3 linked regions of the Solanum lycopersicum genome follow. Each later gene encodes a partner of the first gene's protein in a complex. Links are inferred from orthologs where the notes say so. Each region holds a gene or a part of one and is shown in the gene's direction. Other genes may lie near its edges. The genes, in order: actin-related protein 2/3 complex subunit 2A, actin-related protein 2/3 complex subunit 3 and actin-related protein 2.

What was found.
Region 2: actin-related protein 2/3 complex subunit 2A (region 1) and actin-related protein 2/3 complex subunit 3 share a complex: the UniProt entries of both Arabidopsis thaliana proteins name them as parts of the arp2/3 complex. The link is inferred for Solanum lycopersicum from reciprocal best matches to the Arabidopsis thaliana genes DIS2 and ARPC3.
Region 3: actin-related protein 2/3 complex subunit 2A (region 1) and actin-related protein 2 share a complex: the UniProt entries of both Arabidopsis thaliana proteins name them as parts of the arp2/3 complex. The link is inferred for Solanum lycopersicum from reciprocal best matches to the Arabidopsis thaliana genes DIS2 and ARP2.

What each region holds. Positions count from the first base shown.
Region 1 is NC_090810.1:58,673,380-58,679,824, forward strand, and holds the start of actin-related protein 2/3 complex subunit 2A, read left to right. Parts: upstream 1-2,525; 5' UTR 2,526-2,762; coding exon 2,763-2,824; intron 2,825-3,974; exon of another isoform or gene 3,975-4,024; coding exon of another isoform or gene 4,025-4,050; intron 4,051-4,439; coding exon 4,440-4,506; intron 4,507-4,704; coding exon 4,705-4,912; intron 4,913-6,445. Other genes in the region: putative germin-like protein 9-2, read right to left, coding at 138-631; germin-like protein 9-3, read left to right, coding at 1,283-1,903. UniProt on the Arabidopsis thaliana protein: Functions as actin-binding component of the Arp2/3 complex which is involved in regulation of actin polymerization and together with an activating nucleation-promoting factor (NPF) mediates the formation of branched actin networks.
Region 2 is NC_090806.1:3,893,221-3,899,683, forward strand, and holds the start of actin-related protein 2/3 complex subunit 3, read left to right. Parts: upstream 1-2,668; 5' UTR 2,669-2,844; intron 2,845-3,680; 5' UTR 3,681-3,757; coding exon 3,758-3,760; intron 3,761-5,045; coding exon 5,046-5,154; intron 5,155-5,232; coding exon 5,233-5,502; intron 5,503-6,463. UniProt on the Arabidopsis thaliana protein: Functions as a component of the Arp2/3 complex which is involved in regulation of actin polymerization and together with an activating nucleation-promoting factor (NPF) mediates the formation of branched actin networks.
Region 3 is NC_090801.1:71,231,875-71,237,263, forward strand, and holds part of actin-related protein 2, read left to right. Parts: coding exon 1-1; intron 2-382; coding exon 383-517; intron 518-658; coding exon 659-730; intron 731-825; coding exon 826-904; intron 905-2,756; coding exon 2,757-2,806; intron 2,807-3,114; coding exon 3,115-3,218; intron 3,219-3,321; coding exon 3,322-3,390; intron 3,391-3,463; coding exon 3,464-3,527; intron 3,528-3,713; coding exon 3,714-3,782; intron 3,783-4,375; coding exon 4,376-4,459; intron 4,460-4,545; coding exon 4,546-4,604; intron 4,605-5,389. UniProt on the Arabidopsis thaliana protein: Functions as ATP-binding component of the Arp2/3 complex which is involved in regulation of actin polymerization and together with an activating nucleation-promoting factor (NPF) mediates the formation of branched actin networks.

The sequences.
Region 1 (6,445 bases):
AAAATATGCAGACTGCAGTACTATCTTGTAAGTACATGTCGAGACACACAAATTTAGTGGTGAAAATACAGAAAATTGCCTAAGATGAAAGACCAGCCTTGATCTTCCGAATAGTGGCAATATCAGACTTGAAGGACTTGGCGAGAACTTGATCATCGATCCCAGTAGCAAACAATGTTGTAGGAAGTGACACAGTTCCAGTACTAGTGCTGCCAAAACCAGACACGGCTATAGCTGATTTATTCCAATCAGAATTGTACTGATAATGCACTAGTCCTTTAGGGAACACAAACAAGTCACCAACTTGGAGAGCCTGAGTGTAAAGCTTGTTAGCGGTGTCCACAAATCCAACCTCAAGACTACCTTTAACGACGAATAACAGTTCAGCTGCACGAGGGTGTGTGTGGGGCGGGTTGACACCTCCTCCGGGGAACTGAAGCACTGCCAACGAAACACTCTGGCCGTCCAAACCTGGAAACTCTGCCTTGCTCACTTTTGTCACACTGAACTTTTCAATGATGCTGCCAAAAATATCACGAGTACCAGTGAAGGTAAAGAAGTTCCCATCTATGGTGCTTCCTGCAGGAACAATGAAGTCAGACAAGATATCCGGATCACTAGCTTGAGCCATCGAAGAAATGAAAAAGACGGCTACAACAACAAGGACACTTTTCAAGAGGAATGAGGCCATTTTTTGTTGATACAGGTAAAATGTATACAAATAAGTTGTAAAATGATGACTATTAGTTCTGTTAGACCACAAATTTATAAAAAAGACCAAAACCAGAACCAAATTTTGCTGAAGGATAAGCCAGTTGGTAATAGATGTTAACTAAGCTTGACACATTATACTTATTTGTTTTTGATAGCAGAAACTACCTGGAAATCACATTATAAGATTCCATATTTCGAAAATCATCTCAATATTCCTTAGGTTTCATCAGTTATATGCTTCAAGATAATACTTTTATGGACTCTTTGATCTTGTAATGTAAGCAAAGTGCATGAAGTCGAAAACATAACAATTTTTAAAGGGAAAAAGTAAACTGCTTTCTCTTGTCCATATTGAAAGCCAGAACTGGAAAGAGGTGAGCAAGTGTTGTTTCTTAAGTTGACACAATAAACTTCTGGAGCCGTTTCCTATATTCACAATTCATTTTTGTTTTTGCGAATCATCGGGGACTTCAATCTCGATTCTTGTTTGATATGTCCCTTGTATAGCTATAAAATCTTTAGTCCATCAAGAAATCATTCAAACAAATAAACGAAAACAGGAGAAAAAATGGAATCAAAAACTTCAAGTTGCATAGTTCTGTTAGCTCTAGCAACATCACTAGTCATTTTTCAAATGGCATCAGCTGGTGACCCTGACATCCTAACAGACTTTGTGCTGCCACTGAGCGTGCCATCAGTTGACGCTTCCTACTTCACCTTCTCAGGCCTAAGGGGCATCGTTGGAGCTCCATCACCCGAAAAATTCAAGGTAACAAAGGCAGCAATGACGGAGTTTCCAGCCCTGAACGGACAAAGTGTTTCCTATGCAATCCTACAGTACCCTGCAGGCTCTGTCAACCCTGTCCACACTCATCCACGTTCAGCCGAGCTACTTTTCCTCATGTCAGGGACATTGGAAGTAGGATTCATCGATACCACGAACAAGATTTACACTCAAACATTGCAAACAGGAGACGTTTTCGTGTTCCCTAAAGGACTAGTACACTATCAATACAATGCTGATGCTGAAAATTGTGCTTGGGGTATATCTGCCTTTGGAAGTGCAAATGCAGGCACTGTTTCTGTTCCTAACTCTGTGTTCAATACAAGCATTCCTGATAACATTTTAGCCAAGTCTTTTAAGACTGATATCATTACTATTCAGAAAATCAAGGCAGGTCTAACCTGAAAACTACGTTGCTCGGACTATTCAAAAATATTGTCGGATGCTTTCATATTTTTACTAAAAGTAGTGTATTTTTGAATGATTCGACTTAAGTCTATAGACAGTCCGACTAAAGAATTAATATTCAGAGAATCTTGAATAAGAAGGTTTATACTTTATATATGGCATGACATCAAAATGCAAAGTATAATCATAATTGACCTTATATATATTTAGAAGACTTAAAAAAAGTTCTCTTTTTTTTTTTTTCATTCAGTGCGGAGCTAGAAATTTCAAAACAAAAAATAGTAAATAACAAAAAGAAATCATGGAGATTAAAACATATACGAAGATAAAATAATTTGACATTAATTACCTATCAAATAAATAATTAGTAGATATATATATGGAGTTTTCATTACAAAATATAAATTTGTGGGTCAATTTTTGTATTTGAAAATTTCCAAATCATGATTTTCACATAAGTCGGAATTTTATCTCATGATATGAAATGACATGTCCAAAAGTTGATTTCATATCGCATGTCCAGACGCAAACTTAATAGAAAGTCGAGAGAAGTAGCAAAAATATAATTAAACTTGACGTAATTTAGGAAATATATTTTAGTCAAGTTAATAGAGTATTAATAGTTCGAGAATAAAATTAATAGGTTCCGGTGTTTGTAACAAAAAAGTGATTTGATTTATTCAATAATTCTTACATAACTTTTCCCACTTGAACAAATTGACAAAAGAGAAATCAAACTTTTAATAACAAAACTTCATCAAATTGTCCATTCAAGATTCTTTGATTTTCTGTTTCTTTCTAATTTCTTTGATTTTCAAAGAACCCAAACTGCGAATTTGTTTTGTGAAAGAGATCGATGATATTACTGCAATCTCCCTCTAGATATCTTCTTCAGATCTTGTACAATCGCGTCCAGAGGTAAGCTTAAATCCATTTCACTTTTTTCACTTTTCCCTATTTTAAACACTTTTTTCGGGTCAATTTGTGGTTTAGGGTAGTCTGGATTGCATTATTGATTGATGTTTGCATAGTTTTTGCTCATTTTTGTGTATGATTATGAATATAAAAGTACTTGTATGTATCTGCTGGGATTAGCATAAGCATAAAGTTGCAATCTTTTAGTATTTTAAAAGAAAGTTAGGGTAGGAGAAGGGAAAGGGATTACAAAGTGTGGGAATCGAGAGCTTGGTGAAAGTTATGGTAGTCAGCTAATGAACTGAGCTAATAAGATTAAGCCTGGTTATGGAAGTGTGGATTGCATTATTGTTTATTTTTATAGGAGCTGATTGTATTGCAGCTAGATTGTTTAATGTTTGCATAGTTCTAGCTTATTTCTGTGCGTGGTTGTGAATATGAAAGAGTTTATATGCTTCTGCTGCATTAGCATTTGTTGTTGCACTTTCTTAAGCATAACGTTGCGATTTTTTTTCCCCGATAACCATGGTGTGTGAACCGGCTTTCGTGTACCTCCACTAAATCCACGGGATACGTTCCACTCCTCGCGCACCTTGACTAATTCCATGGGATATCCGCCACTTCCCACCACCAACAATTAATAGGTAACTTTATCCACCAAGGTTAGAACAAATGGGAAGAAATCACCAAGTATTTTTGTCTCTGTTGGGATTGAACATGAGATTTCATGGTTCTCAACCTACTTCATTGATCAGTAGGCCACACCCTGGGTGCTATTACATGGATTTGTTTGGAATGAGTATGTCCGATATTTAGCAAGCTCTAGTTGATTGAGTTACAGCTAGTATAGTTGATGTTTCTGTGTAGTTCCAACTCATTTCTGTGCTTGAGTACGAAGATGCGTTGCTAGGTATTAACATTTGTTGTTGCTCTAATTGAAGTGTAAAGATGTAATCTTTCAGTCATTAACACCCGTGATACATGGGTATATGGGTGAATGTTCTGTATGAGTATGTCCAATAGTTGGCAAGCTCTAGATGATCGCTATGTAGTGAAGCACGGAAATACTATGTGAATAATAACCATAATGTTGTAATGTGCATTTCCAAAAAATGCAAAAGTATTTCAACTTTTTCTACCTTTTGCATAACAGTTTGGAGAGTTGCATTTACTTCCTCGCATCCCAGGGAGCTGGAGTAGAGGATGAACATGAACTGCCTACACTATCAGTTACTGAAGTAGAATCAGCTTAATCAATCCAAAAGTGCTGCCAATAAAGTCACAAATGTTCAAAATTTGATTAATTGTTCAAGCATTAGCTACCGTGATATTAAAATTGATCATTTTAATTTGTTTACTTCCATTTAGTGATTTATCATGGGAACCCCTCCCTGTTAACAATATAGCATTCCGGTTCCTTTATTTGTCCAATTGCTCTTAGCTTATTCTTTCACCAAATGGTGTATGCTTAAAGTTCTAAAATATGACATACCTAGTTTTCTGATCCTTGAATCTTCCAAAAATTTGGCAGCCCTGTATTGCAAATAGAACCGATACCATTCCGTCATTTGTTTGAATAATCTGTAGTAGATGCTGACAGCACATCCTTATTTTGCAGTCTTGAGAAAGGGGTTGAACTGGACAGCCAATGGGTTGAATTTGATGATATCCGTTACCATATTCAGGTGAGTTATTATCATACAACAGTCCAATTTGATGATTTTGCTTTATTTTTTAACCAATTTTTTCACTTCAAAAGAAAAATGGAAGAACCACTAAACACATCATTATTTTAAAAATGTTAATTGAGATGGTCATATCTTATTTTGACATGCTGTCATCTATGATACATCTGGCTGGCTAATCTGTAACATATTCTGCAGGGTTCAGTGAAAAATCCAAATGTCTTGCTTCTTTCTGTATCATTGCCCATACCACCTCCAGAAACCGTCCTCTTTGGTGGACTTCCACTTGGAGCGCTAGAAGCCATAAAAGCAGCATATGGTGCAGTTGCACAAATTCTTGATCCTCCAAGAGATGGGTTTAATCTCACACTTAAACTAAACTTGTCAAAACTTCCCCCAGATGAAGGTTCTGCAAGTTTCCTCTTTAAGGTCATTATGAGCTTGCTATAGTTGTGCTGGATGGTATTAGGATGTTAGTCCAAACTGCATTACTAGAAAAGTTTGGGGGGTTCTTACTCTCCTAAGGGTAATCAAGAAATAAATGTGATCGCATCCGCTTCATGTTGCATGTCTATTTTAGCAAATTCTTTTTAATATAAGTTGAGAACACTCATTAATAAGCACACGTTCAGCACACACACATGAAAAAAGGGTTTCATTCTTCTCAGTTTCTATTCAGTTGAAAATTTCAGTGTTTCCTTTCTCTTGGAGTTTTTTTTTTTTTTTTGTTATGTGCATGTTTTCATTATTCCTAAAACTAAAAGGGAAATTGTCAATTTTTCACTCGTTCTTCTAGCTACGAAGAGTACAATTTATTGTCTGAGTAGTGGCAAAATATTTCAAGGAAAAAAAGATATAACTGTATGTTATACTAGTATGCAGCATTCACTGTTGGCTCGAAGTTGGGCCTCCAAGCTTCTGAATTTCTGTTCTTGAATATCATAGTTCAGTAAGTTATCTCTTAACAAAAGGATGCAAGTCCGATGAAAGATCTGTAACAGGAAACAATTAAACAAGCTAGAGTTTTTCTCTACAAAAATCACCTATTCATGTGTAAAAGTTGGCAACCATGTGTTGCCCAAAAGGAAAGGGCAAAGTCATCTGAATGTTGAGTATAGGGATTAAATTAAAGAGCCAGTTGGTTCACATTATCCAGAAAGAAAGTTCAACTGTGGCTAGCAATGGTGAATCAAACTTATCCATTTTCCTTTGAATCCCAGTCTTGTTGTCTTGTACTCCAGAATTTTTTTGACTTGATCTTCAATTGGTGGCTTTAGAACATTTGTTCCCCAAGAACAAATTTTGTACTCAAAGGAGAGACGTAAGCACAAAACAATCAGAGGTACTCAATGAACGCAAAAAAGTATACAAGCAGGGGAATAACTCCCTTTGGAATAAAGAATAAAAAGCCCCTGCCAAATTTAACTCTGTGTGCCATGGTTCACCTTTGATCTGTGTTATATGTTTGGATGCACCTTAGGTTAAAGCTTTTTGTAATATACTTCCTCCATGTGTTTCCTTTCAGTCCATTGAGTCCATTTTCCGTAATGGAGAACTATATAGCTTAACTATTTACAACTTCTTGAATATTGCACCACTAAAAGTCTCATTGCCCCTACTCTTATTCTTATAAAGTATTTGACATTACCTAAGAATAACCATATCTGTACTGCTGGTGGTATTATGAGGTATCCACCAAATCCAGGAGGAAAATATCCTCCTGGATGTTGCTGGTGCGTAAAATAAAAAACCATATTTCTACTTTCAGCACATCCCTCCTCACAATCCAACGTAATTTCAGCTTGGCTGTTGATCTTTTAGCTGGTCGGATTCGAGCTCCTAAGTGCAAACTTGGGATTGTAGTACAAGTCAATATGTAGCATTACACTTTCTTTATGAGTTCGTATACTTATTATTTCAGTTTTAAATTTGTGAACAG
Region 2 (6,463 bases), on another chromosome or scaffold:
ACATATGTTGTATGTGTGGCTTTCCTAGTTTCTTGCAACTGTTGTCATTGTCACAATAAAGGTTGCTTGTCTTAAAAGGATCTCTATGAAGATGGTTGTTTTTTATACTGAAAAAAATAATTTACATTTGTCCACCTACTCCCAAACAAGACTCTTGATATATCTTTTTCACTTGGACAGTAGAATATGTTTTGAATTTTTATGACTTTCTCTTTTTGTTTTTTAGTTGGACATTCACTGTTATGCGATCTACAAGCTTGATTTATTTAAGATATGCTTTGTGTGGGGTCCACTAAACGGATAAACGCTCAATATCACTATTTTTTTCATTTTCAGATTCGTATTTAAAATATTTGATCTTAAGACAATTCAACACGAGTGGAGGTCTGAATTGAATGTGGGAGTTTTCTTTGACTTTTTGGAAATGATTTTTCCTTGCTCAAGCAATCGAGGCTTTATAAGAGCACATTTAAGTTAATCAAGTCTTTAATATAAATATCAAACGTGTCTGATCTGACTAACTTTTGAAGTTTCCTTTTGGTACTAGGAAAGGAATTTTCCTTTTGCTCACTCAAAACACAAATTTTGAAGTTTCCTTAGTGACATTGCAATAACTTTGAAGTGTTTTTTTTTTTTTTTTGGTTGTGTTGTGGGGATTAAGTTTTGTTGGTGGGACTCTACTAATTTTATACATATAATTATTGAAAACAAATTGCATATTAATTAATTTTTTTTTTTACTTGAAAGAAATTCAAATTGAAAAATACTCCAATTCAAATGGCAATTAAATATAATATATACATAATTATAATTTAGTAATGTGAGAAAAATCTTTATATGTCCTTGTCTGGCACATGTGGTGGTGCCACGTGGAGGGACCAAGGTAGCTTAAATGTTATTAAATTATCAAATAGATTGGACTTTTTTTTAACTAATAAGTCATTTTCAATATATTTATGCAAAATTAATGACGAAATTCGAGATTTAATCAGAAGTCTCTTGTTTAAATTTTAGAATTAAAAAAAAAATTCTAGTAGAAAAAATATTTCCTCCTTCAATAAATTTTATTTAATATAAATTTAAAAATCAGATATTTGATATTGAACGAGAAATAAATTAAAATTAGTGTTATTTTTATTGTTGGATGATTAACAAATCATAAAGACAATAAATAAGATGAGAAAATGTTGGCTTTGTGGACCACAAGTGATTGAATTTTATACATGAGATATTTTCAAAAAATGGATTTCACTATCAATAAATAAAGAATTATATTAGATTTTTTAGATAATGTTGATTTTGACCTAAAGTTTTTTTTTAATACACAACTACTTCACATTAATTTGTGAAATTTACAATGTTTAGTCAATAAATGTCACAATCAAAATAGATTTATATCATTATATTTACGAATAGAATTTTAATTTAAATATACATAAAAACTTATTCCAGACAGCTGGTATATTTAACTTATTAATTTGAATTCAATTATATAACTTTGACGTTAACATTAGCACAGATTCCCTTTCCACACTCTCCCTTTGAAATATTGAATTTTACTAGAAAAAAAAGAATGTTAAATTTGTTAATATATCAATATTTCAATTCAAAATCAACTAAAGTAATTAGAAAAAAGCTAAGCCCCAAAATTATTGCAAGTTGAACTGATTGAAATTAGAGAATTTTGTGATGGATTATTCTTAAGATTAAGAGTTAGAACAATGAAGACCACAAATTTTAAAAAAAAAGAAAAAGTAGAGAAATAATTTTTTCAAAACAATGTCATTATCAAAAGTTTTCATAGAATAGCATTATTCCTAGAATTATTCCCCTTTTAGAAATTAGGTAGTCATCATTATTATTGGTGAATTATAAAGTAGGGTATTTCAATTAGTCTATTATTAAATCTAGACTCCTTAAAAATCATATATACTTTATGGAAAAGGCGCAAATATAACGTTAAGTTTGTGATTTGAAATGGATATATTTCTTGATTAAAAAAAAATTATACATATATATTTACGTTGTTTAACAATATGATACCTGTATATTCGTGACATAAAGTATAAGGAAAGAAAAAAATGCTAGGCAAGTTTGACAAAAAGTGATGGTTAAACCTACCGTATAGTATGAGATAGAGTGTCGATTAGTCAAGAACTTTCATGTTCAAAATATGAAAGCTACGGAGATGAAATGTTTGCGATGAATGTGTGGGAATAATAATAAGACATGATTAGAAACGAGGATATTCGGAGACAAGGTGCATGAGAGTGATTTTGATGAAGGACAAGATGTAGAAAGCAAGGCTAATGTATGTAAAGAGGAGCTGCACGAATGTCCCAATATGAAGGTGTGAGAGGTTGATAATGGGCGGCCTCGAAAAGGTAGAGATAGGTCGAAGAAGTATTTGGAGAGAGGTAATTAGATAGAACATGACACATTTTCGACTTAATAAGGATACGACTTTAGATATAAGGTTTTGAAAGGCACGTATTAGGCTAAAGAAGTTAGTAGGCAGTAGTGTGTGTCGTCTTGCTATACGTCCACACTAGTAGTCCTAGCATTACTCATATAGTTTCTCGTCCTTCAATTTCTTTTATCGCTCGTTATTTCTTATACCTCAATTATCGTACTATTTTACTAAACTTCAAATTGGTTAAGAAGAGGCCCATAAACATTGAGCCCAATAATAGTTGATCGTTAAGCCCATCTTCAACTACCATCACCGTTTATACCCGATTCTCTCTTCACTTCTTCTTTGATCTTCGCCGGAAAATATCACCCATCCCTGTCGATCTCAACATCTCTCGCCGGTGAAATTAACTATCTCTTCTCGGAAATCCAGTACGTAAAATTACGATCTGTTGCATATCTTTTCGTATCTACTCTTATTATCATATGTTTAACATATTGCGTTTTTGTTGTTGAAACTGTTGCCGTGATTGTTACTACTGTGATTATAATTGCTTTTTCCAAAATGCTTTAAACTGTTTAATTGATATCGTAATTCAGTTAATATAATTCGCTTGGGAATTAGGGGAAATAGCTAGGTCGGAGATCTTGCTTATAGAATTCGGATTGAAAAAAAACTTAAAATTGGAAATGAGATGCTATATTTGTGTTTTTATGGCGATATAGGGAACTTTTTGATGTGTAACTAAAGAGGGAAAAACTGGCATTATAGTTGATGTTATGGGAAATGTAAGATAACTTACATGATTTGCTAAACCATGTTTAATCAAGGGTGAGCTAGGAATTTGAGTGTATGGATTCTAGAAAACGGTGTTTACTAAGTTATTGATAACTTATTTATGCATATTAGGTGGATTCTTAAACGCAAATACAAGATTTGAGCCGAACCTACTGGTTTTGGTCGAAGCTGTAGCTCTGCCTGTGTTTAATGGATAATTCTATAGTAGCGCAAATTAAAAAGATACGAATAGAATGGTTGGGAATGAAAGTGCATAGATGATCTGGAAATAAAAAAGGAACAAGGGGAGAGAGGACGGAAGATGTTGGACTATATGGAAGATTACCTGAATATTACTTAGATGCATAGCTAGTTATCTGATGTAGATGAAGTAATCGTAAATTTTGATGCACGTCCTCTTATATTGGAGTCATGTTAGTTGTGTTCTAATTAATCTTAGTTATCTGATACTTGATGAGTGCATCTGCAGATTGGTGTTATAGCCTCTTTGGTTCGAAATTATACATTGCCTTCTGGTGCTAAGAAGCAAAATTTTCAGCAAGGAAAATGGTAAAGAAAGCATTTTTTTGCTTACATATTTCATTACTTTGGTGACAATTATCTCTCTGAGTTGATAGTGTGATAACTTCCACGCATGATGAAAACCATGCTGTTTCTTTTCCTTTGGTGATCGACTTGGCCCTTTTCCTGGTTTGGTGCACTAAATGAGCTACATGGCTTACATTTCATGTGTTCATTCCACTATTTTGAGTTACACTTTGGTTTCTTCAAAGAGGAATAAATAAATGACAAATGTTGTATTCTGTTTTTAAAACATCTTGGCAATGAGGATCTGTTATTGGCAATATGGGATGGATTGTGGTCTTTCTTTGATCTGTACTCACTTCAAGAAGTCTATATATAGTCTAATGGTGATAAACAAGACAGTAACTGATTTAGAGTAGGGGACTTAGATATGATTTGGATACATGCATGCAGTACGGTATCTTACACACTGATTAATGGAAATAACATGATAGAAATTCCAACCAAAACTGAAGAACAGAAAAGAAAGAACCAAAAATATAAAGATTTAGAAGTAAAAAGAATTACCACCAAGGTTCAAGCTTGAAAGAATTTTGAAATTCAGTCCGGACAAAGACTGTTTGAGCCTCAGAAAGATATCAATCTCAAAATTATATCAAAACCTCTCTAAAAACGAGTTTAACCTTATGTGCAGATTATATTACCTATGTTTGAGAAAAGAATAAATTACACTAACTGAAAAGCCTCCCAATTTGTAAGACCAGTGTGTCACACATGACCGATTCCTCAAGTTCAGCCCGCTGCACTGAGTCGTAATTTCCAGCCCGCTTAACTTTTGGTGTTTGTGTTTCGGTGCAAGGCGTCCAGCCTTAGCTCCTTCTGTCCACACCCAATGCCTTAGCCGTGTGCTGGACTTTACTTTCCAGCAAGTTTTTTTTTCAGCCACTTCCAAGCACTCCTTGAACTCTCAAACATGATATGCTTTGCTCGAATCTTCGCCATGCTCTCCAAGCATCTTCTGATTATCTCTTAGAGATCTGTAACTTCTTGATGTGTAATCCTTGGATGCTCTTGGTCTTGGAGCGCCTGATGGTCCTTATGATCGTTCAGGATCTCTTCCCTAATGTGCATCTGCTATCCGGGGTTGTTTGAGGACTCTATTTTTCTTGGCGATGAATTTTCTGTATTCAACTCTAATGAATTTGTCCTTTCTATTTTATTCACTCTATTATTTTTGTTTTATAGGGTGTTTAAACCCATAACAACTTGTCCCATTGAGTGCTGAAACCTGATTTTGATTCAATTGCAGGTTTATCATTCCAGTTTCGTTGATGAGGAAGGAATTAGTAAAGCTTGTGGATGTCCTTTGTTACCTCTGAAAAGCCATATAAGGGGACCTGCTCCAGTTTCAGAACAAGGTTAGTCTTACGAGTCTTTTCCTTATTAAGAGAATGTCTCCACATTATTATGGTGATGCTGATCTTATTTTTGAGCAGATACAACCGATATTGTTGATGAAGCAATCACATTCTTCCGAGCAAATGTCTTCTTCAAAAACTTTGATATTAAAAGCTCATCTGACAAGCTACTTATCTATTTGACATTGTATATCAATATAGCCTTAAAGAGGCTTGAAGGCTGCCGAACTTTAGCTGAAGGAACCAAGGCTATCATCAACCTAGGTCTGGAAAATGTTCCTGTACCTGGAGAGGCAGGTTTCCCATTCCCAAGCTTATTTTCTCCAGCCCAATCTAAAAAAGAAGCAGGTAAGTTGTTATTTGAACGAAGCAACCTTCTTTTTATATGTGAATAAACCACCAATAAATGATTTTGGTTAATTTTGAGTTTGCTGTTTGCTTTAATTTTTTTCCTTTGAGATTCTAAAATGAAAACAAACAAATTCACATCTCATAGTTATTCAGATGATGATATCCTAGTCTAATTGTGCCAATCTAATTCTTCTGGAATTTTCATGTACGCTACATTTGTATGGCTTGAAACCTTTTTGACATGTTACAACATTGCATTTGGTTCTAAGTGGAGAAAGATTATATGAACTGGAAGACTTTCTTAGTAGGGTAATAGAAGTTGGGATCAACAATCTTTTTCTTAAAGATTGGGATGAGTCAATGTGGGTTGATAGTATGAAAACTTCCAGATGCCAATTTCCAAAAAAAGGGAAGTGCAAATCAGAAGACTTCTGTGAACTCCATTATCTTTGACTGAAATGATGTGCTTTATCACTTTTGCCGAGTAATGGATATCCAGACACTGTTAAAACTGCAATTTATTTTAATCCATTGTGCTCTTTTTCCTAAGTTGTGCAGCCTTGAATTGCAAAATACTCAGTAATGCCTTGTGTTTTTCTCGACTATCAATCTTCTCCTAAACCATTTACAATTTTAAATCCCTCTCATCTGAACTCTCAAAATCTCTCAGAAGGTTCCATTTTCTGATGGATGAAGGATTTGTTAGTTTTTGTACAACCACTACTTGAGAGTTATGACCGTGTATGGACGGACGTCTCTGTTCTTCATGGTAGGATGGTCAGTAGAAGTTGGATGAAAAGATAAAAAATGATGGGTTTTTTGTATGCTTTGTATATAGATCGAGTTCCCTTGGGTGTTGTCTAATAAAATTGTATTCTGTTATAAAAGTAATATTGGATTATCATTACAGAAACTGTGTAGTAGTGTTGGTCAAAGCTTGTCAACTGTGACATTTTGA
Region 3 (5,389 bases), on another chromosome or scaffold:
GGTAAATATCTCTCACTTCATGCTTACCCTACATTGGAAATGTTAGGGTTCTCTTGTATTTATCAAAAACTAGTAAGCTCTTCTTAGAGAAAGAAAATCTGGGTTGAAACTTCATTAGTTCTACAGTTGCTTGCTAAACTAGATGTTATAGCTACTTCTTGTGAAATGAAGTTTTAACTCTATTTTGTTTTCTGATACACCTCAGGATTTTTTGAGTTCTGCTTACGTAGTATTCTTCTGGATTCTTTGTTTAAACTTATAGCTTGTAACTAGGACATTGGGATTCTTCCCATCATCACTTTTATCTGACTGTTGAGCTTCATAAGTAAGTGTACTCATAGGCTTGTTGACTAATGTTTAACTCATTACATTCTTCCTCTAGGATATTATTGTGGGAGATGAATGCTTGAAGTTGCGCCATCAGTTGGATTTATCTTATCCCGTCAACAATGGAATTGTACAAAACTGGGATGATATGGGGAATGTGTGGGACCATGCATTTTTCAACGAACTGAAGGTAGATTTTTCTACTGCTAACTTCCCTGTGAAGATTTCTGATTGGTTTAAACTTTTGCTTGCTAATTTTTCTTTGAAATGCTTATTGTATGATAAGTTCATGGTTAACTAACTAAACTTTCCTTTCATTCTGCTTGTGAAGATAGATCCAACAGAATGCAAAATTCTCCTGACAGATCCACCTCTCAATCCATCTAAAAATCGTGAAATGATGGTTTGTGTTAATGTCTTACTTTTTCGAGAAAAGCATTCTCTCTCTTTACTGCTTCAATGATTCTTAACTTATACTCTGATTTACTTGAATTACAGGTAGAAACCATGTTCGAGAAGTACAACTTTGCTGGTGTCTTCATCCAAATTCAAGCCGTTCTAACATTGTATGCTCAAGGTACCATTATACATGTATGAGTTCTTGGGGCATAATCATCTTCAATTATATGTGAGAAGGACCTTCGATAGGAGAGTTTAGAGGTGGCGGATTTGGGTAGAAGGTTAGTTTGGTAGTTGCGCATTCTCTCGCTTCTTGCGGTATTGAGAACAATAGAAGTTAGCATAATTTGTGTGGCCTCCTCTTCCAGCATACAAAGCTAAAGATTCCTGTGAAGAACTACCAAATTTTCCTTTTCCAGAATGCATCATTAGATTATTTCCCCTTCCTGCATATAGAGCCATAGATTCATGCATATCTCTACTAATTTTGGAATCAGCTGTCATACGCTGACTTTCATCAGATGTTATCATAGCATAAGTTCGACTCACACTAGGTAATGGATTCATCATTAAAATCTGACTCCTCGCATGACTGTACACCTAATTCAAACCCATCAAAGAAACAAATTATCGCAGAAATTGCAGATGATCAACATACACTTTGGACTTATCACAGTTACAAGCAGTAGGCGGAACAAGTGCGTCAAACTCATTGCATAGAAGTAGCAATTTAGTAAAGTACCCAGAAACTGTCAAATTACCTTGACTAATTGTACTAATTTCACGATGAAGCTGATAGCTTCTAGATCCATCAACCTTGTTGAAGGGCTCATTCAAATCTTCCCAAACCATTGTTGCATCTGATGCATATACGATTCCACACAATAACTCTTTAGGCACCGTGTTCATGATCCATACTAACGCGAATGCGTTGCATTTCTCCCATTGCTCCTCCAATTCAGGTTTGTGATCAGATTTGCGACAAGTTCCAAGTACGAATCCCAGCTTGCTCTTAGCACGAAGGTTAATCATTAACGATCTGCTCCACAATGAGTAATTTTCAGCCCCTGTGAGTTGTACTGATGTCAATACACTCCCAGGAGTTTCAGAGGGATGAAGATATAGTGGATGATTTCGATTTTTCTCAATTCCATCAAGAGTATCAGCTGAAACTCCTGAAACTGTAGCTGCTGCACTATCCTCTGATGTCAATATCATCTTCTTTGAACTCACTCAATGGATGCTTCGAAGTCTTCAAATTGAATTGATTGTGAATCTGAATCTTGTGGATTCACAGCTCTGATACATGAAAATTTTAGTGAGAGAATTAATTGGGAAAATTTTCTCTATATTCTGTTAAACTGTAAAATGAGAATGAATCCATACATATATACAAGTGTGTTAGCCAGCTATCATGGCTGTTAAGCCAGCTGTTAACTCTCTCTCCACTAACTAACTACTTAACTAACTAATGGAATGTAAAATGTTTAACTAACTAACTAATGTGCAAATTAAATAATTTTATGCTAACTACTATTATTCTCAATAGATACGGTTGGTGGTAATACTTGGACCTTCCTTCTTACCAGTAATATTAGCACTATTCTCGTAGTTTCTTGTTCTTGGATTTAGTTTGTGCTCAGAATATTGCATTACTTCATCATCGTTACTGTTCTTTCTGCACTTTGTTGTGTAATGCTCTCCGTTTCGCATTATTTCATTGTAGTTATTGCTCTCATATTTGTATCCCCTTTTTTCAAACTGTTTGGCATGCTTATTTAAGCTGAGGGTCTAACGGGAACAACCTCTCTAAATCTATGGGTAAGGTTTGCGTACACTCTACCCTCAAACCCCACTTGGTGGGAGGATTACACTGGGTATGTTGTTGTTGCGAGAAGGACCATCATAAGTCTTGATATTGCAATTTTGTAGCGGGTATTTGTTACAAGGGTGGGGCTAAGTCATATTTTGCTTCTACTTGGGCCCTATCTGATGATGGATTTGCTCATTTTTTATGTTCCAATATGCAGGTTTGTTGACTGGGCTTGTCATCGACTCAGGTGATGGAGTTACACATGTTGTAAGTTTTTCCATAAGCATAGCTGTTTCATGATCTATAGTTTGTCTCGGTTCAACATTGATTCAAAAGAGAAGGTTAATTCTCATAAAGTTTGAGGTAATCAAACTAGGAGTTGCTACTCCCAAAACTAGAACTTTTTTCCTGCATAGTCCATTGGGCTCCCTGTCTAATAAGATTGCTCCTTCAAGCTGGTCATAAAGGCAGTGTTTTTTCAGCTCTCTGTTCTTTTGGTGGCACATGGTAATACTTGCTATGAACCGTGGGGATATTTTTTCTTCTGTATGTTATTCAGAAATATGTTGGTGCAGGTTCCTGTTGTAGATGGATACTCATTTCCTCACCTCACGAAAAGAATGAATGTAGCTGGACGGCATATAACGTCTTATATGGTTGATCTGCTACTTCGGAGAGGGTAATTGCCAACATATGTTTGAAATAAACTAAATAGGGTCATTCATGCTAATTTGATTATTTTAAACCATTACTGGAGTTTTGATGGTCAGTCATATCTGAAGGTATGCAATGAATAGAAGTGCCGATTTTGAGACTGTCAGGGATATTAAAGAAAAGCTCTGCTACATTAGGTGAATTACTTGCGTTGTAAATTAATCCCTTTACTAATTCTTCTGGCGAGTAATGATATTTTCTTTACTGCAGTTATGATTACAAGAGAGAGTATCAGTTGGGGCTTGAAACGACAATTCTTGTTAAGAATTATACTGTGAGTAGGCTCCATCCATAATAAGCTTTTAATTGGAAAAAACAAAGGCACTACTATTCTTTAAGCTTTTCTACTACCTTGAACTGCAATTAGGTATGGTACTTTGCTCTTGGAAGCAAAGATCCTTTTTTCTCCCATAAGAAACTTGGTCATCTGTAACTCATTATTTCACTTGTTTTTCAACAGCTTCCAGATGGGAGGGTACTTAAAGTTGGCACAGAGAGGTTCCAGGCACCTGAGGCTCTTTTTACTCCAGTGAGCATGCATTCCCATTTTTATTTTCCTCTTTCACAAATCAAGAACATACCTTTTACATAAAAATGCACCAGATTTGCTTTCCTCGTAGTGGTAAAGATGAAAGGCAATTGATGTATTCCCATAAAGCAATCTAATCCTGCAAATCCCATGTAACACCAAATGTCAATGTGACACTTGTTATCTAATACCATGACCATCTTTTGTCGTACAGCTTTTTAAATTTGGTAGTTCTTTTACCTCTCAACTATTCAATAGCAAAGCAATAGAGTGTTATCTTTGAACCAATTTGTTTCAGATGAAGTGTCAATTAAGTCCTTGTGAAAAAATTGAAGCAAGAACACATTGTTTGAACTTTGAACTGCATTGTTTGAAATGCTATTATATGCTTCTCCAAACTTCTACTTTATGGGTTGATGTATGTGAAAGAAAGCTAAATTGAAATATTATTCCACGTTTCTCCAAAATTCTAATTGAAGGGTTGATGTATGTGCAAGGAATTTTAAATATTATTTCACGCTTCTGCAATATATTTATTGATGGGTTGCTGTATGTGGAAGGAAGCTAAGTGTCACTTTTTCTGTCCATTTCAGGATCTTATTGATGTTGAAGGTGATGGCATGGCTGACATGGTATTTCGCTGCATTCAGGAGATGGATATTGACAACAGGATGATGGTACTTCAACTTTGAAATTTCTTCTGTATTCTTTGCCATAGTGTTGTCATTTGCCATCCATCATATGTTTAAATTTTCACTTGCAGCTCTACCAGCATATTGTTTTGAGTGGTGGAAGTACCATGTATCCTGGCTTACCTAGTCGGTAACTTACTCAAAATACTCTTCCTTATTATAAAGCTTTGAGAACTTGGAGCTGAGTAGTGCAATTGTGCGTGGTTGATTCTAAATGCTACATTATTGTCATACAGACTAGGAAGTTTTAACGGGTGTGACAGTTTGCTTTGAGTTTATGAACCAAAGTATATCCTTGAATTATTTTTTCCTCAGGACTAATGTTTAATCAATCTGGCAGAGAAATTTGAACTGTAAAACTGTTATGCTATAACTTTGATAACACTCTTTTATTGTGCGAAGAACTCTAATTCACCTCCCTGTGGATTTTGAATTTTATGATTCTCCTCTTACGGTATCAAAATTTTGCTGATTCCCTCCTCCTGGTAGCAGTCAGCTTTGGTATATCTGACTGATGACTTATTCCTCATAGTTGTTCTATTTTTCTCCTGCTCATAAGTACCCTTCTGAAATTGTTAGTATCATAACGACCATGAAATGCATGAAGGCATATCTAAAAATGCAAATCAACGTGAAATATATATTCATTTTCACTACATACTATTTTAACTCTCATCTTGTTACGTATCATAAATTAGAGTATGAAATTCTATTCGAGAGGATATGAGTATTGTTTAGAAATGTGCTATATTAGGAAATTTAGGTATACACTTTAATGCATGAAGAATTTCTGTTAAGAATATCCGTGAGCTGTCATCAAGAAGGACTTTCATCTCTTTGTGATTTATTCCTTTGAACTTTACTTTTGCAGTTAACATTTCTTTTGGTTTACTGTGGGAATATAAGGAACGAAAC